Linked DNA regions of Medicago truncatula. The protein of the gene in region 3 binds, or shares a complex with, the protein of the main gene of each other region. Links are inferred from orthologs where the notes say so. Each region holds a gene or a part of one and is shown on either strand. Other genes may lie near its edges.

Region 1 (7,630 bases), on a different chromosome or scaffold from region 3:
AAAATTTTGGGCATTAATATTTGTTTCCCTTAGCGTGGCATCTTTCATTTTTCATCCGTTAAGGTCATACTCTTTTGCTGTAGCTGGTTCTAAATTGATAAAAAGAATCCGGTTAATGTGCTTCGAGAAAATAATTCACATGGAAGTAGGATGGTTTGATAAAGCTGAGAATTCAAGTGGTGCGCTTGGTGCAAGGCTGTCAACTGATGCTGCTTCGATTCGAACTTTGGTTGGTGACGCACTCGGTTTGCTTGTTCAAGATATCTCTACAGTTATTACAGCCTTGGTAATTTCCTTTCAGGCAAATTGGCAGCTTTCTCTCATCATTCTTGTTTTGTTGCCTCTACTATTAGTAAATGGATATTTTCAAATCAAGGCCATGCAAGGATTCAGCACAGACGCAAAGGTTTGTGCCTTACACAATGTGCTTCAATTGCGTCACAATGCATTTTTGTCTCTAAATTTATTTAGTACATATTTTGTTTCTATATGAAATTTGTACTAATCTTCATTTGACATGATGTTTCTATGCTCTAAATATGTTTCACAGAAACTATACGAGGAAGCAAGTCAAGTAGCGAACGACGCAGTAGGGAATATCAGAACAGTTTCTGCTTTCTGTGCCGAAGAGAAAGTGATGGAATTATACCAGAAGAAATGTGTAGTACCATTCCAGACAGGAAAAAGGCAGGGTTTAGTCAGTGGAACTGGTTTTGGGTTAGCAATCTTCTTTCTGTTTTGTGTCTATGCAATCAGTTTTTATGCTGGCGCCCAACTTATTGAGAATGGCAAAACTTCGATGTCAGGAGTTTTTCAAGTAAGTTACGGTCCCAACTCGGAGGCCATTTCAGATATAGTGCTCTTTGGTTGAACTCTGAGCTCATCACATTCTTTTAGCATTAAACATTTAATTTCTTTTCAGGTATTTTTCTCTCTCACAACGGCAGCTGTCGCATTATCTCAATCCGGCTTCATGGCTCCAGGAGCTAGTAAAGCCAAAAGTTCAGCTGCTTCAGTATTTGCTATTCTTGATCAGAAATCAAAAATAGATACCAGTGATGAATCAGGAATGATACTGGAAGATGTGAAGGGAGAGATTGAGTTCCATCATGTCACTTTCAAGTATCCAACCAGACCTGATGTTCATATATTCAAAAATCTTTCCTTGACCATTCATTCAGGACAGGTAAATTAAAAATATTATATATTGGTTTAGTGCATAATTCTCACAAGAATTCACTATCAAAAAATCCATCTAGGTTTTTCTAAGAGAGAAGCTTAACGTTTGGTTGTTTCAATCAGACAGTTGCTCTAGTAGGTGAAAGTGGAAGTGGAAAATCAACAGTGATCTCATTGTTGCAAAGATTTTATGATCCAGATTCAGGTCAGATTAAACTGGATGGAACAGAAATCCAAAAGCTACAGCTTAAATGGTTTAGGCAGCAAATGGGACTGGTAAGCCAAGAGCCTGTGCTGTTTAATGACACCATCAGAGCTAACATTGCCTATGGAAAAGGTGGTAATGCAACTGAGGCTGAAGTTATAGCTGCAGCAGAACTAGCAAATGCTCATAACTTCATTAGTAGTTTGCAGCAGGTAAACTACAGAAATTTATGAAGCATTGACACGTACACAAACACTAAATTGTTTATGGTTCTGTTAAGAGAGGAAACCAAACTGAACTTTTACTACTTCGGTAAGAATGAACCAAACCTTTAATGGTTCATCCAGGACCTAAACAAACTAGTATAAAGGTTCGGTGCACCGATTCAGTGGTTTCAAACCAAACGGAAAATATTTTTACAAAAAAACGAACTGTACTTTTTTCAAACTGAACTAGTTCTTTGTGAATTTAATTGTACCAAATTGCTATTATTAATTGATAATTAGGGCTGTTGAAGAAAACCAAAAACGAAACCAAATTGAATTTTATGACTGTTTAAAAAACTAAAAATCGAATCACTCATAAAAGAACCAAACTATGATAGATAGTTCATGAACTGAACCGAACTGAGTTCAGTCCAGTTCGTGAACTGTCAGTCACAATTAGATTTTTTCGGTATGGTGGAGTTCGCTTCGGTTTAACTGTTCCATACATTTTTTTTAAACAGTCCTAACTGACACGATGTTGACTCTAACACGAAGGCATTAGTAAGAATTTAAGAAAATAAACGTGTAACCGCATGTGTTAGAATCATCGTGTTAGACACTAGACATGTCTTTGATCTAAAGTGTCAGTACTACATAGCACACAATACTCAATGAGCTGAACCTGTTCTTAAAACTCTTGCTACGAACGTGTGAATTGCAATATTTCAAATAACTAGCTACCTATGATGCATGCCTTACGAGGTTCTGAATTCTAGAAAAATAACATATGCAGGGGTATGATACAATAGTAGGAGAGCGAGGGATTCAACTTTCTGGAGGACAGAAGCAACGTGTGGCAATTGCAAGAGCCATAGTTAACAGGCCAAGAATATTACTACTAGATGAGGCCACAAGTGCCCTTGATGCAGAGTCTGAAAAAGTGGTTCAAGATGCACTTGATAGAGTGAGGGTGGACAGAACCACCATTGTGGTGGCTCATAGATTATCAACAATAAAGGGTGCAAATTCAATTGCAGTTGTTAAAAATGGAGTGATTGAAGAGAAAGGAAAACATGACATATTGATCAACAAGGGTGGCACCTATGCTTCTTTAGTAGCATTGCACACAACTAGCACTGCTTCATCTTAAGACTCTTTCAACCTATTCAATCTATTTTTGCATGCTTCTTCAAAAAAAAAAAAAAAATTCTATTTTTGCATGGTTTCTAGAATAAGTTATTTTGAAAAAGTTTTTTTTTATACACACACATTCTGCTGCATCTAATATATAGAAGCATTTATATACATGCTTATTACCTCCAGTACGATTGACACTATTGTGTACATTTTTTTTTTTTTTTGGTAAAATGCTTAAGTATACATTTAACAATGAATTGTGTCATTTTAACAACAAATTATAGGGTTAACACAATTTAAGTAGCACCACTTCATCTTAAGACTCTTCACATTGTTGTATTTATATATACTGTTACTTTTTATATTCTATAAGAAATCTTGATTTTCTATCAATTAATTTAATAACTGTTTCATATTTTTAGGTAAAAATATGATTTTTCATACGGTACTTTGACTATATCTTCTGTTCTCCTTCTAATTCATTAAATTTGATATTATTTAGCTTTGTTTATGTACATTTTCTACTCTCTTTTTTTTTTTTTTTTATATAAAAAAACTTTACATCATCATTTTGTTTTCTAATTCTATTTTTTCACGTTGTATTTTATTTTAAAAAATCTAAAATTTAAATGTGATAATTGATTATTATTATTATTGACGATAAAGAAAAGTAAGTAAAAGATAATCAATTACAAGACACATAGGAACTCCTGTATTGTTTAAATGGGTACCAAAGGTTGGATAAATGTGGTAAGTATAAAAAAAAGTTGGATAACTCAACTGATTTGAACCTAAAGATTAAAGAAGCCGAGGTGATAAAAATTTAGGGTAGTTCAAGTTCGTTGATTTGAACCTAAAGATTAAAGAAGCCGAGGTGATAAAAATTTAGGGTAGTTCAAGTTCGTTTAATGAGAAAAATACTAACATATAACATAATAATGTTTGTCATTAAAAAAATGCTTAAGTGGATTTCACATAGTTCATTTTATAATTTTGGATATCAATAACTAATAATATCTAATGAGCATTCAATTTCTTCAACTCAACATTTCAATTGTTGTAATAAATAAATTCTATAAATAACCATATCATTACCATTAAACAAAACTAATTTATTTTAAAATATTTTATTAAGTTGGGTCCGCAAAAATAAACAACAAAGATTCTTTTAATAAACATCATTCTCTAGAAGAACTCAAAATTATCGTTTGACAACATAGGTATGTATTTAGATGTTAAATAAACGAAGCACACACCATTGTGATGCTCGGTGAAAAGGGAGCGGAAAGGTGGTTTGTTACCCCTAAACAAATATGAAGCTAATTAAAAAAAGGTAATTAACTTTCGTTTGGTTCGAGAGTTTTGGAAGGGAGGAAATATATTTAATTTGATGTGTTTGATTCAATTTTAAAAAGGCCTTTAAGATTTTCATATTATATAATCCGAAGTGAGTTTTTTTTTTCCTTTTTTTGTAGAACATTGTTTTTTTCCACCAATTTGGATTATAAAATTTGAAAAGAAAAAAAAAAAGTACTTCGTATTTTATAATACGAACACTCCTTGTACAACATACTTGGAAACATAAAATCCGAACTCCCTATACATCTTCTTATGTTAAGAATTCATGAGAAAATATATCAGATTATATAATCTGAATCCTGCTATCAACACAAAAGACTAAGCATTTTTGTGTAGGATAACCAATTTAAGAATCATATTAAACATCCTAAGGCCATTGTTCGATGTTTCCGCCATGTCTTATAAAAAAATCCAATTTTTAGGCTAGTTGATGAGTTTTTACTTCAAAACTTGTGATATTGGATTATTAACCCACTACAAGGATTCTAAATCGTGTTTTTCTAGTTCGAATTAATAAACACAAACATCAAAAATATGCTGGGAATAAGACTAAGGGCAAAGAAAGTATGGTGAGAAAAATAATTGCCTAAAAGAATACACAATTACCGACCTAAACTCATCTATAAATACAAAATTTGCGACCTAAAATCTCAAATTAATTTTAATTCTTATTCTTTTTTCCACCGCCGCTCCGTCCAAGCCTTTCATCTCTGTTTCGCAGTTGGCATAGGTTCTGATTCTGCAATCTCTCTGCCACGCCGCAACATCTTTCACCTTCGCATCAGCAGGTTTTATCGATTGATCCTTTCTTTTCTTTCAGAATTACTACCGATCACTTATAAATCACAATTTTAACATTGAATTGAATTAAGTATTATTGCTGATTGTTTTTTTATGAGTCACTTTTTGTTGCCGTACCGAGTACTGTGAATCACAATTGCAACACTGCATTGAATTTTGTTATTTTCTTAAATTTTACTATTATTATTATTGTTATTATCAATGTCACGATTGTTTGCAATGATCTTGTGAACACAATTAATTTATGAGAATATAATCCCCGTCAACACTTATATGGAGGTCTCCTTTTTCATGGCAACGGATTCAAGTGCTTTCAAATGATGAATCCAAAAAACAAAAGAATCATACCATTTTCAATATAATTAACAATATTGATTTGTTGTGTTAGTGTGATTTTCAACAATATTAATATGTAAAACTCAAACGAACTTTGTTAATTATTTTTAAATGAATTTACATGATAAAGATCAAAAGAATTATGTTTAAAGTAATTAAACTCACAAATTTAGCGAGAGGAGAACTTGTGAGAATTATACCATTTTTTTTTTTCTTTCTGGCTAAAATGACTTTAGAGTGAGAATTAGGGTTCCCCTAAGAACATTAGAAGAGTGATGAGCCATCAATTGCCAATGTTTGTGAATTACGCTTTTTGCAATATGATAGTGAGAAGATAAAGGAAGGAAGTGTGTTGATAACAAGTGGTCATGTAACCAGTGATGATGAATCATAGAAGGATGATAACAACAATGAAAAGAACAAGTCGGCGTTGAGTTTCAAGAGTTCTAAAGACAAGATTTTGCAAACATCTCAAGATTGCAAGGAACCGCTTCTAATAACGATATTGAAGAGAAGAAGATTGATGAAAGTGAAACTTAATTCGGGTCCATACATGTTATGAATTTTTAATGAGCTTCCAAGTGATGTTTTTGAATATGAAACCATTTAGCGTCTTTTTTTAGTTTATATTTTTTATTAGGAATGATATTATGATTTTGTGTGGATACCCTTGATGTTGTTATGTAATTTGCCTTGTTGGCAATTTTTTTAATTATAATATCACATGTATTATTGAGCCTTTTATGAAATACATAATAAAACCGCTTAATAATCCATAAATATATTATAACTAAAAATCCTCAATAAGGAAAATTACATGACAACATCAAAGGTATCCCACACAAAAATCATGCTATCATTTCTCATACAATAAACATAAACAAAAAAGAGACACTAATTGGTTTCATCTTCAAAATCATCACTTGGAAGCTCATTCGAATCAAAATTCATAACAACTATTGACCCTAATTCAGTTTCACTTTCGTTAATCTTCTTCTCTTCAATATCATTATTAGAGGAGTCATGTTCCTTGCAATCTTGTGATGTTTGAAAAATCTGTCTTTAGGAATCTTGAACCTCAACACCTGTCGTGGCGGTTAAATACAAAAGCTTTCTTGCAATATGATATATGGTAAAGAGAAGATGAAGGAAGTGTGCTGCTAACAATTAGTCATGTTACGAGTGATGATGAATCATAGAAGGATGATAGCCACAATGAAAAGAACAATTCGGCGTTGAGTTTCAAAATTTCTAAAGATAAGATTTTTCGAACATCTCAAGATTGCAAGGAATTGCCTCTTGTAACCATATTGAAGAGAAGAAGATTAATGAAGGTGAAACTTAATTCGGATCAATACATGTTATGAATTATGATTTTAATGATCTTCCAAGTGATGCTTTTGAATATGAAACCAATTATCATCTCTTTTTTTGTTTATATTTTTTGTTACGAATAATATTATGATTTTTGTGTGGGATAGCCATGATGTTGTTATTTAAATTTGCCTTTTTGATAGTTTTTTAAATTATAATATCACACGTATTATTGAGCAGTATACAAAATACAAACGGCATAATAATAAAAATTCTCAATAAGGAAAATTACATGACAACATTAAGGGTATGGAACACAAATTATATTATCATTTCTCATTCAATTTATATAACAAAAAAAAAGACACTAGTTGGTTTCATCTTCAAAACCATCACTTGGAAGCTCGTTCAATTCAAAATTCATAACAATTATTGACCCTAATTCAGTTTCACTTTCGTTAATCTTCTTCTCTTCAATATCGTTATTATCGTTATTATAGGAGTCACGTTCCTTGCAATCGTGATGTTTGAAAAAATCTTGTCTTTAGGAATCTTAAACCTTAACACCCACTTCTTCATTTCATTGTGGCTATTATTCTTTAATAATTCATCAAAATCACTTGTAACATATCAATTGTTAGCAACACAACTTGTTCCTTAATCTTTTCATTATCATCCATGATGTTGCAAGAAAGTCTGTGCCTTTTACTGTCATGATTGTGATTCACATCAAAATTGGCAGTTTCCTAGTAACTCCATGAGACGAGTTCAACTGTGTTTGATCATCAATAATAACTCTTTTGTTCTTATATGTTATTCGGAGATTCTCACTCTAAAACCATTTTCTGAACAAAAAAAAAAAAGGAATAATTCTCACTCACAAATTGTCCTCTTCAGTCTTCATAGAGCATGATTAGAATGTTATAATTTCTACTCGCTAATTTTGTAGCTAGGTTTTATCATGTTAATTCATTTAAACATGATTCTTGCGAGATTCATCGCGTTAATTCATTTAAAAATGTTAGAAAATTACACTAGCACATCTGATCAATATTCTTAATCATATTGAATATGATATGATATTTTTTTTTTT
Region 2 (7,064 bases), on a different chromosome or scaffold from region 3:
AATGTCCAAAATATAGCACTCCATGACACACAAACAGAAAGAACTTGAAGTATTACATTTTCCTACCATAACGAGTCACGCCTAAAAATACTAGTTAGTTAAGCACTTTGATTCTTTGCAACAAAATATTCTTTTTTTTTTTAGATAAATTCTTTGCAAAAAAGATTCAATACAATATGATGAGATATTGAACCTTTGTCTATCACCTTTAATCCATCCATCTATTACCAAATAGTGAAAAAGTATATTAAGTCAATGAAAGGACTTTCATCACCATTTAAAAAAAAAAAAAAGTTTTTGGTACCAACCATGTTCCTTTTAATTTCAGGCCAAACGGAAGGGTATGCTAGATGTCAGAGCAGTGTCCTCGACATATCGAAGCCTAAACAAATTATATCCCAACACTAAAATTGAGTGTCAGACACATGTCATGTGTGTGTCGGGCACACCTTAAACCTAAAGCGCCGGTTTTGCATAACACTACAGGACAACTAACTCTACTGATTTTCAATCTTAGAAATCTGTAGTCCAGAAAATGAAAATTACCAAACTTTTATTTTTAAGAAGCTAAACTAGCCCACCAAAATTGGCACCGGGGAGAAAATTAACAAACTAAATGCACACTTTTAACTAAAGTTTGATTGCCATTCCCTAGGAAAGAGTATTCTCAAAGTAAATAAATAAATAAAAGTGATCACTAAACAACAGTTCCTCGTAGAAACTATGATCTATTTATATCCCCTGCCCCCAACAGAAGATAAATAAAGGTAGTGTGCTGTAAGCTTCGTTCGGAAAAGAATCAGAAGGTGCTACTTCAGGTATACTGAGCCAGCATCATGCACTAAACATTAACACTTGAAATACTTAAGAAAAATAATTAGTCTACCAGACAATAACAGGTTACCAAAAGAAGTTAAGGGCCATTTATAAAAGGTGAATATATATAGACACACAGACACATGAAAACATATTTTCAAGAAGCAAACAATTACTTCATGCGAAATGTAAATCAACCAACTGACTCACTGTTCAGAAAAACATACGAGAAGGAATGCCCTAAGTGCGGCAGAAAAGGCATGATTGACTAGGCCATTCTCGAACTGAGACCTTGATTCCACAAATTGGTTGATCAACAAAAAGCTCCTACATAGAGGAAATATCCGTTTTGCCAACTCCTGCAACAACAAAACTGGCTCAGACTCAGCTCTATCATTGTATTAAATTATACTGTTCATTATCTAATCTGAATAATACAGCTATAGCATAGGACAATTTACATTCCCCATCAGCTTTCTTAGCAAATAGATACCTCCAAAAACACAATTCGGGGGCAGAGTTATGGATGCAAATCACAGTTTGAAACAATGACCGAATATAGAAAACATGGTTGCAGAAAATAATTTCCTTTATTTTGAATTACTGCCAAACACAGAGTGCAACTTAAATTAAAAAGCATTGCAGTATTTGAATTGCAAGATAGATGCTTCATATTCCATTTCTAAAGTTTACAAAAAATAATAATACAGAAACATGAAAGTAAAACCTAAATGGCTTTAATGAACCTATTTTATTTTAGCACTAGGTTATGATACTGAACATATTAAACACCTTATAAACTTCTAGTCTATAAAAAAAAAAATGTATAGAAAGTATTTCCGTTACCGCTATAGTTTGGCTTGCCATCTAAACTTCCTATCAGTTATCAGTTATTATCACCATAAAGAAAAAGGGGGAGGTTTAACACCTTTAATGTTATGATTGCGGGTCAAACCATGGTAGCGAAAAATTATGCAAATCTCACCTGTAGTGCCAAATCCATAGATGGGTCAACCAGGAAATTAATAATCTCATCCTTCTTTCCACGAAGTGTTTTGATTGAAATGTAACGCCCTTCAACTCCAACCATAGCAGAGAGGACTTCATCAATAACAATAAGCTCCTATATTTCAGTAGAACAAAACAATAGCTTAAATTTTTAAATCTTGAAACCCTAAATTGAATATGAATGCAGATATACACAGTACTTGAATACATATGAATAGAAATGAATACATACACACACAAAGAGAAAACTTTAAAAACCAATACAACACCAAGCCAAATAAGATGGCAGCATATAGAGGACACAAAGTGAAATAATTTTCAAAAATATTTAAAAAACCTAATCTATGCAGTTTGATGAAAGAATAACATTGTTGTCAATCACAGATTGCAATGTAGTAGTTTGTTCAAATTATGCTATGCTTTCCTATATCCGATATTTGAGGATACTTTGAACTAAAATGTGTGTCATAAAACCATAACGATATGTTAAAATTCTGTTTCTGCTATAGCCGCTACTTGATGACACTACAAAGCATAGCCAGGACCTTAATTTCTTACCAATAATCATAGCATAGTTCACTTTGTCTAATTTGTTAAAAAAAAAAAATTGAAAAAAAAAAGGTCCTTCCCTTGGCATAACAAATAGTACATTTTCTTAATTCCGAGCAATGTGCCGTATAAAAAAGCTTATATACAGTATAAACATATGTATTTTGAATTGAAGTTAGGTTTTTGAACTAAGATAAAATGTTAGGTAAAAATTGAATAGAATCGAAGGCAATTACACTACTAGAGAATACTTGAGCAATCACATTCTTAGAGACTACACAGAAATTCGAAAAACAAGCACCAAAATGAAGAGAACAAAAAGTTGATAGGTGACAATAGATCTGAGAATGGTTCGATAAGTGAGAGAGAGAGAGAGGGAGGAACGTACTTGAACAGGAGGATCGTAATAGCCGATAAGATTTTCAAACCCTGCGGCGGCGGTTTGATTCATGTTGAAATGCAGTGAAAGCAGATCGGAAGAAAAAGCGCTTTTCAGTAATCGCTTTTTTAAAGATTATTTGCGAATCGAAATGGGAAAGAGATGTTATGAACTATGGGAAGATAAATGCAGAGAGAGTGAAGTGAAGTTGTTAACTCACTAGATTTTCTTCTTACTTCTTTATTCTCTCTATTATTTTGAATTTTGTCTGGTTTCTTCTTTTCAGGAATCTCTCCATTCCATTCTTCACTTTTCAAAATAACTCCTTTTTATTTTATTTTATTTTATTTATTTTTAAGTCAAAAACTCACTTTGATTTTATCTCTGAAATTGTCCAAGTTATTTTTCTTTAGTAAATTACACTCTCCTCCTCTCAAAGATGCTTGAATTACACTCCCCTCTCCTCTTATATTAAAATATACACTCCCCTCTCTTGAAAAATAAAATTTATAATCCCTTCCCTTATAAGATGTTTAAATTACAACACTCTCCCTTAATAATTAACTATGGACTACACTTTAATCTATTTAAACATAAATAAATATTTTTATAATATATTTCAATTTTAAACCACCATTTAAGAAAAATTAATTCATTTCTTTATAATTTAAATGTCAATGATAATTAAGTTTAAACATTTTGCTACTGATTTTATAATTTAGAGTATAAAATTAACTTTTAATTTGTCTTTAGTAATTTTTCACATATTTTAATTTTAGTTTTGGTTGTTTATATTTTATAATAGGGTTTAAAACTACATGTTAATGAAATTGTGAATAAAAAATAGCGAAAAATATGTATTCAATTTTTATTATATTAAAATAGACCCACAATACTATTTTTTTGAAGTGTGTTAGATTATTATTTTTTTGCTAGATTATTAAAAATAAAATAAAAATTAATATTGAAGGAGTAAAGTGTAGATTTTAACATAAGAGGGGAGGGGAATGTAATTCAAGCTTCTCTTAGGGGAGGGGAGTGAAAAAAATTCAAATAAGTTTTGAATAAGAGGGGAAGGGAGTGTATATTTTAACATAAGAGGGGAGGGGAGTGTAATTCAAGCATCTTTGAGGGGAGGGGAGTGTAATTTACTCTATATTTTAACATAAGAGGGGAGGGGAATGTAATTCAAGCTTCTCTTAGGGGAGGGGAGTGAAAAAAATTCAAATAAGTTTTGAATAAGAGGATAGGGGAATGTATATTTTAACATAAGAGGGGAGGGTAGTGTAATTCAAGCATCTTTGAGGGGAGGGAAGTGTAATTTACTCTTTTTTTTTTTCTTTCTCATTAATAGTATCAATCTTGAAAACTTAAAAAAAAAAAAAAAAAAAACTCATCGAAATTGATATCGGGAAAAATCAAACCTGATACGTTAGAAGAAACACGTTTCAAGCTCTCAACTACCACCGTGGATTTGAAAACTTAAATCGGGTTAAACACCTTTATAATTTATATAAATATAAATACATTACATTACATTTCGTTTCTAATTGCCATAAGAATTTTTTAAGTTTCCTTTGGTACATCTTGTTAACGATTGCCCTACGGACATTATTTAATGATTTCATTAAATGAAATTTTGTCTTAAAAATATAAGTTACTCCAATAATTACACGTTTTTTTAGATAAATTTACCACTTTTAATACTTTAATCAATACCCCAAAGACACTCGTTAGTCTTTTTTAAAAATATGGTTAGCCTTTTTTAAAAATATTTGCATAAGCATGCTAATTTTTTTTTATTTTTTATGGAGACATAAATATGTCAATGTTTTTTATGAGGACTAAATGTGATATATTTATAGAGATCAAAAACATATTTAACCTTAATATAGTACGCTAAAATGTGAAAAGAAAAATACATAAAAAATGTTGTATTATGACTCAAATTTGATGAATAGAGGGTAGGCCAAAATCAGGCCACGATTTTGGCCCACTTTTGGAGTGTTCTTTCGACATTTTTCAGACCACAATTTGGTAAAATCGAAGTCCGATTTTGGATAAGGAAATATGTGTACTGTGGTACTATTGGGTAAATTGGGGCACAATTTGCTGAAATTGGGGCACATTTTTGCCGGGTCTGAGCACTATAAAAGGCTTCAAGAGAAAGAAACTTAAAAAAATCAAATTAGATAACTTTAGAGTTAAGGGTTTTTGCTTAGGATAATGCTTGTTTTTAAGGGAACCCGAAGAGACAAAACGCACGAAAATATCCAAGCCGTGCATTTTCACCAACACATGGGCGTGATTTCCATTACATAAGGATTAATACTTTTTTATTTTTTAGAAAAGAGCGGACAATGTTATTCTTGCTATTCTTGCGGCCATCTTTCCTACAACATAGCATTGCCCCTTTGATTAAGGTTCTTTTGAGGGGTTTTCTTGGGTAGGAAAACATTTGTAAACATTTCCCCAATTTCTTGTAACATTTTTGTATCTCTTTGTAAGAACTCATTGATAATGGCTTGGAGAGATCAATCTCTCCCCATAGTAGGTCAAGTTGGGCCGAACTGGGTAAACATTTCTATGTGTGTTTGTTTCTCTTATCTCTTTATCTTTTGCTTGTGGTTTTGTACTCTTCACTTTATTCCTAGATTAAATCTAGGTTTGTTGTTGTTGTTGCTGCTCATTGTGGTTACTTTGATACTGGTTATTACTTTCCTTTGCTCCACATATGATAGTTTATTGGTGTGTTTTTGAGTCCGAATTCTAGCGTTATGGGTGTATTATGTTTATGCATACTTAATAGGCATTATCCTTCGTATTTTATTGTAAGTCACTTTAAAAGAAAAAAAATTGGTTTTATTATAAGTCGCTTTAGAATTGAAATGCATCATTCCTATCGTACCATTTACCATTTATTACTCTATTTTTTTCAATTTTTTAATCTTTTTTTCACATATCATTAATAAGGGATAATTTTGTGAAATCATTTATAATTTCTCTTTGCAATACAAAATTAACTATATTTCATAATATGTGTGAAAATATCAAAACAAGTTTAATAAAATAAGGAGAGAGTAATAGATTATAGGTAAGTTTGTTACAAGATATAATAAGAAATGAAAAAGTCAATTCAAATAATGTATTCCTTTTATATATAATTTTTTTAGGGATCCTTTTATATTTAATTTATTTACAGGGTCAATTGCTCAAATTAACCTGATGTCTGAAAAATGTCTCAGTAAAATAAATAAAAAAACAAATATACTAACCTTGTAATAAGACTACACACAAAAAAAATTCCACTAGGGACTGATAATTATGATTTTTTATGCCATGATTAATCTCTCTCTTTTCTTAAAACTTTAAAATTTTATCGTGAAGATTCTTACGATGTTCTAGCCATGACTACACAATTAAAGAATGAAATTTGACTTATGAGTATACATTTATTCGAAACAAAATTACAATTTTGCATATTTTGGTTTGAGAGTAAAAATAAATCAAAACATTTTTGAAATCTCATGAAACTATGCAAATCTTTTTTATGTATTTTTATAGATGTCTCTCCAAACAAATAACTAAAAATTTGATTTATAAGTCAAAATCTCCGTTATTTTGTTTTTTAAGTTTTTACCGTTTTAAAAATTCATAATTAATTTATCCTAGTTGAAAAATTCCAATTTTTTTTTGTGCAAATCCATACTTTAATGTCTTAAACATGTATGGAAAAAATCTTGAATTTTTCATGTAGAACCATATTTTTTTTCAATGGGTTTTAACGTCTTTTTTCTATTATAATCACCACCATTTATTATCTTTTGTCTATTATTACTCTCATTTCTTTTTCTATAACATTTTTTGTCTATTAGTATGAGATGACCAAGTCTACACAGAATATTTAACAAATAGAAGAAAGACTAATGACTTGGTGCCAAAAAAAAAGAAAAGAAGAAAGACTAATGATGATGAAATTTTTATAAATCATATGGATCAATTTGATTCTACAATCTGTTTAGCTTTTCTGTATTATGGTGGACTTAGCCACCTCTTTCCTCTAGATGTTTCCGTTACAGGGATAGATCTAATTTTCCTTTTCGCAGGTTATACACTTACTGACTTTGTTGTATTGGTTCAGGCATCTCCTGTCTTTTATATTTTAGTGCTTTGATAATTTTTTTTTTCTTTCTACTTCTTCCCTTTTTTCTCTTCTCACTGATTCTTCAATCCATCAGTGTTGTAGCTCAAACCAAAAGTACCATAGCAGCTGGTGATTTTCATATTTCAGAAACCAACACCTCTCCATGGT
Region 3 (7,823 bases):
CAAACTACCTGGCAAAACCACAAAAATTGATTACCTAGAGAAAATGAGAACGTCACAAAATCTTCTAAGAAAACATTTGGTGGGAAAATGAAGTGGTTGAGATATCCACCATACCTTTAGTTAATTAAGACTCGTTGAATCGTTGGTCTGCAGGAAGTTAGAACCGCAATTGTTCAACTCAAAACACACAATGGAAGTTAGCTAAGTGCAAAGCTTTGTTGATGTCTTATCTTGTTGAAGTAAACAATGCATCGATCTGATCCTCGATCATATTCACAAACTTCCTATATGCTACGACACAACCCGCCTATAAAATTCATTGAAGTCAAGACGGAAAAAGAGAAACTTTAGATCAACATGCTGCTGCACAGGCAACTGAGAAATGAAATCCTCTTGCAATGATGAATACTCCTTAGATATTGCATCCAGATCTTGTTCCATTTTTTGGAGAAAAACACCAGCGTGTTTTGTTATGGCTTTTCTCCCATCAGCAATCCAGGATTCTTCTTCCGATGACTTATCAGTCGATCGCTTCCGTGTTTTCTTCTGGTCTCGAGAGGACAGTGAGGACTCTGTGATTCTGAAACAAACAGATGATCAAATGTTAAACATGGCAATATGGGGAGAAGAAATTGAGGAAGCAGTAAAGAAGAAAAGTGTGATCAATACCTTGCTTGCAACTCGTGAATGCCTTCGTATAAAATATCCGCATGGCTCCGAAAACGTAATATAAGATCAAATATTACTATTAGTGACTTGTAAAGGGACTGAGAGAGTTCTCCAAGGAGAGATTTCTCTACAATCGAATTCATATATTTCTCATGAGCTGCAAGTAGATCATCAAGATCCTTGGCTACTTCCATCTCACTTAAAAAGTTAGACCATGATATTTCCAAGACTTCAAACATTATATAATATTGCAAGTTTGAAATGAAGTGGTTAATTTCAACCCAAAGAACTTGGCAACGTCTCAATGCTGAAACTAGCTGCATCTTAACAGCATGTTGCAATCTATTAAAGGTATTAGAAGTTATGCAGTTTGGTTTCATGGTCTTCCAGGCACCAATAAGTGCATGTTCCACTCTCTTAAGCTTCCATAGAAAATTAAAAATTCTTAAATACCTCGCCATCACAGACTCTGTGAACACAGTATCTAGTGGAACTCTTGCATCATATTCCAGAGAGAATACATCCCAGCCCCTATCACCGCTTTCATGTGGCATCATTTTGACCCTGAGCCTATCCAAAATATCAGGGTCATCATACTGAGCATTTGACGCCCGAATTGCAGTTTCCAGCAAACCTGCAAGTTTGAAAGAGCTTATTGTGTTCGCAGGCACAGAAAGTTCAGGCCCAACAATATCCATTAGATATTGCACAAAATCACCTTGGCCAAGCAACAAATACCGCTTAATCGCAAGACAGTGCTCTTTGAATTTATACCTCTCATAAATTACATCCAATAGATGCTTATCAATTCTTTTTGAAGCTTCATCAACCAATGACTCAAGGGTATCAGTTTCCCCGTAACCAAAACCACCACGTCTTGCCATTGCCCCTGTATCTTCAGTCGCGGCACGAGCCCAGCCACGGTCCTCACAGCAAACACGGAGAAAATTTATGGACTTTCCAGTCCTCAAAATCCTCTGAGCAAGAGAAGCCGAAATAAAAGAAGGAAGCATAGCATCATAGAGCCGATATCCCTCTCTCCAAAGCGATTCAGCTTTCACAGGCTGCCCAACAATGAAAAACTCAACAAAAATATCTTCCAACTCCCCTTCCAAAACCCACCTCTTCACCATTTCAAAAAGCGGAGAACACACACGCCGAAGCAACCTCTTCATAAACTCATGAACCATCGGATCCCCATGTCTAGCGTGTAAATGAATCGCACCTGCCATCGCCCCACCTCTCAAAACCCTACACTTCTCAACCAAATCCGCCATCAACTTCATCTTCACCATCGGCTCAGCAAGCCAAACCGCCAATCTCCTCAAAGATAAATAATTCCCGGAACTCACACCCTCAGACAACAACGGAATCGGATTCGAACTCTGAGCCTCAAGCACAGCCAACAACTTATAATAATCACTCAACTCATCCTGCAATGCAGCACAAAAAGCCTGCCCAACCGTCCCCACATCCTCCGCGGGAAACCTACCCAAACTCATCTCAATAAACCCAACAACCCTCTTAAACAAAACCCCTAATTCACAAAGCTTAAAAACCATACTAGAACTAGCCCTAGAAACCCTAATTGAATCCAACAAAACATAACCATCACTCTCTTCATCAAATTTCACATACTTCCCATCCACACCTTGACAAGCATAAATCACATCAGTCACCATAGCTTCCTCAGTCACATCATTCTCTTCCTTTATCAATTTCACATATTCATTAAACGCTATTTCGCGACGATTCTTGGGATCCCTCGCAAGAATGACAACACCATCATTAAATCCATTATTTTCACCGCGCGGTTGAACGTTATTCTCCGAAATCGTTAAATTGGGAAGAAGAACGGAAGGGTCATTCGATTTAGCAGCGGATTTACGATCTTGAGAGATAATATTGAAGAGATGAAGTAGGGACCACTTATTATCGATATGAGTGGCTTTGGTGGAGAATTTGGTGTAAAGGTCAGCGAAGGAGAGGGCTTCGGAGGAACGACCATCGGTGGCGAGACGGCGTTTGATGGAATCGGCGACGGCGGCGGAGTCGGGGGTGATGGAGGGGGTTAAGTGGGAAGAGAGAATGCGGTGAGCGTAACGGAGGGAGTTTTGGAATTGAGGGGAGTTAGGGTTTATGGGTTGGGAATTTGGGGGGAGATTTTGGGAGAGGAGGTGGTGGACTAGGGCTTTCACTAGATCTGGGAGTTTTTGTTGTTCTTCTTCGTCGTCCATTGTTGCCGCCGGAGAGTCAGATGAAACGGTGTCGTTTTGAGTGTGGTTCAGAGTGAAAGAGAGAGAGAGAAAGGTTTTTTTTGATTTTTGGGTGGGCGCGGAAATGATTTTCTTTTTTGGGTTAATGGCGGAAAGTGAATGTTTTATTGCAGGTAAGTGTGATCATGGAATTGAAAGTACAGGTAGTATAAGGGATAGGTGATTATTGTCATTCAAATTGCAAATATATTTTAAGTTTCAATTTCTTTTTTGTTATTTTGGGGATTAAATTGAAATATACATTTGATAATCAACATGACATATACGAGGATCTCGTAAAAAAAAAATATATGAGAATTATTTTTTATGTTAATCCTCCAATTTTTATGCAGAAGTATTTTAATCATCGTTGTTCTATCCAAAAATTAAATTTAGGTTCTTCTAGATGTAGTAAAGCGGTTTGGTTTTGTTCTTGCGAGAAAATAAATTTGAATGAATAAAAATTAATTGGTTTGTTTTTACAACCTTCTCGTGAAATTTGAATCAAACTAAATTGATGAAGATCATATTAGATTTGATTTGCTTCGATTGGGTTGATATTTTTATTTTAAAAAAGATAAGATTATAACTTATTTTAAAAATCTATGATAAAATAACTTTTATAAGAAATTTAAAATTCATTTAAAAAACATGACATCACTTTTATTAGTAACAAAACAAATAATGTCTAATTTTTTTTTTTTGGCATTACATTAATCCAAAAGGAGTCGTATTAAGCCTTAAGTGTCGCACTTTAGAGTCTTTGGATGTATTGATCATGTACATGTGTCTGATACCAAAACGAAGAAGCTGGAAAATAGGAGCATAAGTTAACGTGTTTTGTTGGAAGTCAGTGAGGATTCTATAGCTTATATGATCATAACACAAAGTTTGGTGTAGAAACTACATAAAACAATTGTTAAGGGCTTGACTAATAAGACGAGACTAAAAGTTTGGTGGAGACAGGAACAATGAGAAAGATGACACTAATGATAATGAAGGAACTTTTATAAGACCGATGAGGTGAGGCTGGAAAAACCAATGAGAACATCAGTGTGAGACTCAAGTAAAAGCCAGGTTGGCTAGAAGAATATGTTAAGAGACATTGAAACAACAAATGAAGAATAACACACCTACCTTAGTCACTTTTACTCAATTTGAAGATCATGTGCACTTTGAATATGCAGTGAAGAATCTCAATTGGAGGAGAGCCATGGATGTTGAGATGAAAGCTTTATAGAGAGAAATGAAACTTGGCATGACTACACTTTCCGGTGGAGCTAAAAAAATGGATTTAAATGGGTATTTAATACCAAATATAATGAGAAAGGAGATGTTGAAAAGTACAAGGCACGGCTAGTGGCAAAACAATACTCCCAAATACGTTTAACGAGGTGTTTGCATTAGTGACAAGATGGAATATCATAAGAACAACCATTGTTGTGCAAACTATTAGAGGTTGGAGCGTATACTAGTTAGAGATGAAAAGTGTTTTCCTACATGGAGAGATCACAAATACATTTTATGTTGGGAACCATAAGGGTTATGTGAAGAAGGATAGTAAGGATAAGTCTACAAGTTGAAGAAAGCTTTGTATGGTTTAAGGCAAGATCCCAAAGCTTGGTATAGCAAGATTGAAAGCTATTTTCAAAAGGAGGGATTTGAGAAGCGTACCTCCAAGCACGCGGGGGCGTAGCCTTTCCTTGCCAAGGGGTAGCCTTGGCTACCCAAAAAATATATTATTCTTCAATTGGTTGGTATATATTTATATCCTGCTGCCCCAAATAATAAATATTAAGCCATCTCAAACAAATTTAGTTGTCGAAAATTAACATAAGTAAGAAAGTAAAATTATTAATACATGATGGATAAATTTATTTATATTGGTTTGATACTTCTGCTCTCAATAATAATTATGGTGAAAATTTTTTCAACATTAAAAGTTATTAAGACAATAGTCATAAACAAATTAAATGGACATTCAGTTTCTTGCAAATAATCTATTTGTTTACATCAGAAAAAACATTATTAATCTATTTAGTAAACGGCCAACTATGGGACTAAAAACATTTTTATCCTTAGATTTAACATATTCATTTTAAAAATATTTTACTATTTCTTTATAATTGGCCCCTGCGTAAATTTTTTGCTAGCTTCGCCGCTGCAAGCACGCTTCTTTTTTCTTCATGAAAACGGATTTGAACGATGACTTGTTGATTGTTAGTATTTGTGTGGATTATTTAATCCTCATGTGAAACAATGCGACCATGTTCATGGATTTCAAAGAATTTATGAAAAGTATATTCGACATTACTACTCTAGGCAAAATGAGTTATTTCTAAGGGGTGGAGGTGATTCAGAAGAATGAAGGAATTTTCATTTATCAGATCACGTATGTTGAGAAAATATTGAGAGGTTTCAAGTGAAAAATGCGAATTCACAAAAAAAAAAAAAAAAAACTCCATTGTGCCTGGATGCAAACTGTCAAAAGAATAAGGAGACAATATATATAGTTCATGTTACCAACTACAAACAAATAGCTGGAATCTAATGTATTTGACTCCAACCATACATGACTTAACGTTTTCAGTATGCTTGATCAACAAGTACATGGAAAAGCCAATTACGAAACACTTGCAAGTTATCAAGAAGATCATGAGATACTTGAGTGTACTGTGAAAGTTGGTATTTGGTACAAAAAGAGTGAAGCTGATGAATTAATAACATACACTGATAGTGATTATAACGATGATGTTGATGATAAAAAGAACACATCAAATAATGTGTCAGCTGTCATTTCCTGGTCAACTTAGAAGCAACATATAGTTACACTTTCTACCACTGAAGCAGAATTTACAGTTGCTGCATCGTGTGTTTGCCAAGTAGCGTGGTTGAGAAGAATAATCGAGATATTAAATTGCCGTAAAATTTGTAATACGATGATGTGTGACAATAATACCTGCTCTAACAACTACCACATCCTCTATTAAGGGTGTCCATATTTTGAAGGCCTTCTCGACCGACGAACATTCATCCTCCTATTGTGCCTAGGATTAAAGAAGTTTTATGGCGGCCTCCTTTAAATGATTGGATTAAATGCAACATTTATGGTGCTACAAATAGATGATGTCCTAGTTCTTATGCATGTGGTGCCATTTTCAGAGACAACCAGGCTAATGCCTGGGGTGCTTCTCTGTTAATATAGATATCTCCATTCCTCTCAATGCTGAGATTACTTGTGTCATGAATGCTATTGAATTGGTTTTTCAGAAAGATTGGATGGATGCATTTATGGATTGAGTCTAATTCACAACTCATTGTTCAAGCATACAAGAATTATAGCCGTTGGGTTAATGCATCCAACTTAGATATATGAACTTTATTTTTTTTACTCTTTAAAGAGGGCGATCATTTGTGCTAACTTAATGGCTCTGCTCTAAAAGTGCATTTTAATGGTCTGCATTGGTGGAATCAAGTCACTGCTAGTATCTCTGGTGACTATCATAAAAATAAATTGGGTCTCACAAGATATTAATTTGTACCTAGTTTGGTACCACCTACATCTCTAAATACAGGATGCCATCGAGTATATTGCTGGAATTAATAAAGTTGTTTATAATATTAACTTTGTTGAAAGTTGATATAATTTTTACAAATTTATATCATTCAAGAAAAAAAAAGTTGATTAATGTTTTTATTAAAGTATGACTTAAATATGTTTTTAGTTCCCTAAATATACCAATTTTCATTTTTAGTCCATTTTTTTTATCAAATACCTTCTCTGGTCTTTTAACTTAGAATTTTTTAACAAGTTAGTCATTTTATTTTTTTGTAATAAATTGGTCATTTAAGTCATAAAATATTTTCACCATTACCCTCCCTTCAACAAACTCAGATAAAAAATGTTTATGTGGAAGTTTAATGTTAAATTGGTGAGTTCTAATTTACTGCTTTTAAAACTAAGATACATAAGCATGGTTCTCAAATTCGTGAGTAGACTCGTACGAGTGTACGAGTCTAGAAGGCAAAAATGAGTGGAATCACTCATAGAATTGTTTTTCTGCTAGACTCGTACAAACTCGCATAGAATCACGAGTCTATGACGAGTTTATGATTGAGTTTTTTTAAAAAGATAAGTTTTTTTAAATAAAACCCAAAAAAGCTCAACTTGAAAGGGAAAAAAAACATAAAATCTTCTTTTCTTTTTCTACCTCACTCTCAATTTTGAAACAAAACTCTCACTCTCACCAAAGATGGAAGAATTCAAGTCACGCTCACATTCTTCGACGACATTTTCTCCTTCCTTCATTGACGACGTTCTCTTGTTATGTGTCAAAATATTGTGAAAACTAATGTTGTTAATAACGATGTGCAAAGTGGCTGTGGAGGTTTAAATAATCCAAGTCAGGTTACGGTTAATGATGAATAAGGTGTTTTATGTGCGGTTGAGTTTGATGGTGATGGTCAAGATGTTTGTGAAGATGATCGGCGGCGAAGCTGATAATATTTTCACGAGGTGGCCACATATAAAGAAAAATATTTTTTTAAATAAATTAATAGTAAATTTAACAAATAAGCAAAAAAAATTGTAATAACTATTATGTATATAAAATATACTTCATAAAATACACTTAAAGCAACAAAAACGACTTATAAATGGTTGATAAAAGGTTATAATTTACTAAAGCGTTAATAAAAAGTCTGTTTTTACAATAATAAAGGGTTAATAAAGTGCCGTTAAATCTCTTTGAGCCAATGGTGATAAAAAAAATCTTGGGAGGAAGTGATAGATTATTGTTGTTGTCATATTTTCATTGTCAACCAAGGAATATATATATATATATGTACTTTTTTGTTCATCCTCCAGTTCCTAAAAGACAGGATTTCCAAAGTTTAAAA

The links.
Region 1: gamma-tubulin complex component 3 (region 3) and mitotic-spindle organizing protein 1B share a complex: the UniProt entries of both Arabidopsis thaliana proteins name them as parts of the gamma-tubulin complex. The link is inferred for Medicago truncatula from reciprocal best matches to the Arabidopsis thaliana genes SPC98 and GIP1.
Region 2: gamma-tubulin complex component 3 (region 3) and gamma-tubulin complex component 2 share a complex: the UniProt entries of both Arabidopsis thaliana proteins name them as parts of the gamma-tubulin complex. The link is inferred for Medicago truncatula from reciprocal best matches to the Arabidopsis thaliana genes SPC98 and AT5G17410.

What each region holds. Positions count from the first base shown.
Region 1 is NC_053045.1:59,337,310-59,344,939, forward strand, and holds the start of mitotic-spindle organizing protein 1B, read left to right. Parts: upstream 1-4,596; 5' UTR 4,597-4,874; intron 4,875-7,630. Other genes in the region: ABC transporter B family member 3, read left to right, coding at 1-406, 551-817, 923-1,186, 1,303-1,596, 2,384-2,740. UniProt on the Arabidopsis thaliana protein: Required for gamma-tubulin complex recruitment to the microtubule organizing centers (MTOCs). During mitosis, modulates gamma-tubulin complex localization, spindle stability and chromosomal segregation. Necessary for gametophyte development and embryogenesis.
Region 2 is NC_053049.1:2,946,969-2,954,032, reverse strand, and holds the start of gamma-tubulin complex component 2, read right to left. Parts: upstream 3,054-7,064; 5' UTR 2,825-3,053; coding exon 2,762-2,824; intron 1,940-2,761; coding exon 1,802-1,939; intron 1,176-1,801; coding exon 1,044-1,175; exon of another isoform or gene 1,027-1,043; intron 1-1,026. Other genes in the region: G-type lectin S-receptor-like serine/threonine-protein kinase RLK1, read left to right, coding at 6,744-6,858. UniProt on the Arabidopsis thaliana protein: Gamma-tubulin complex is necessary for microtubule nucleation at the microtubule organizing centers (MTOCs). Required for the positioning of the gamma-tubulin-containing complex on pre-existing microtubules and for the proper organization of cortical arrays.
Region 3 is NC_053048.1:44,058,877-44,066,699, forward strand, and holds the start of gamma-tubulin complex component 3, read right to left. Parts: upstream 3,063-7,823; 5' UTR 2,907-3,062; coding exon 670-2,906; intron 581-669; coding exon 292-580; 3' UTR 115-291; intron 9-114; 3' UTR 1-8. UniProt on the Arabidopsis thaliana protein: Gamma-tubulin complex is necessary for microtubule nucleation at the microtubule organizing centers (MTOCs). Required for the positioning of the gamma-tubulin-containing complex on pre-existing microtubules and for the proper organization of cortical arrays.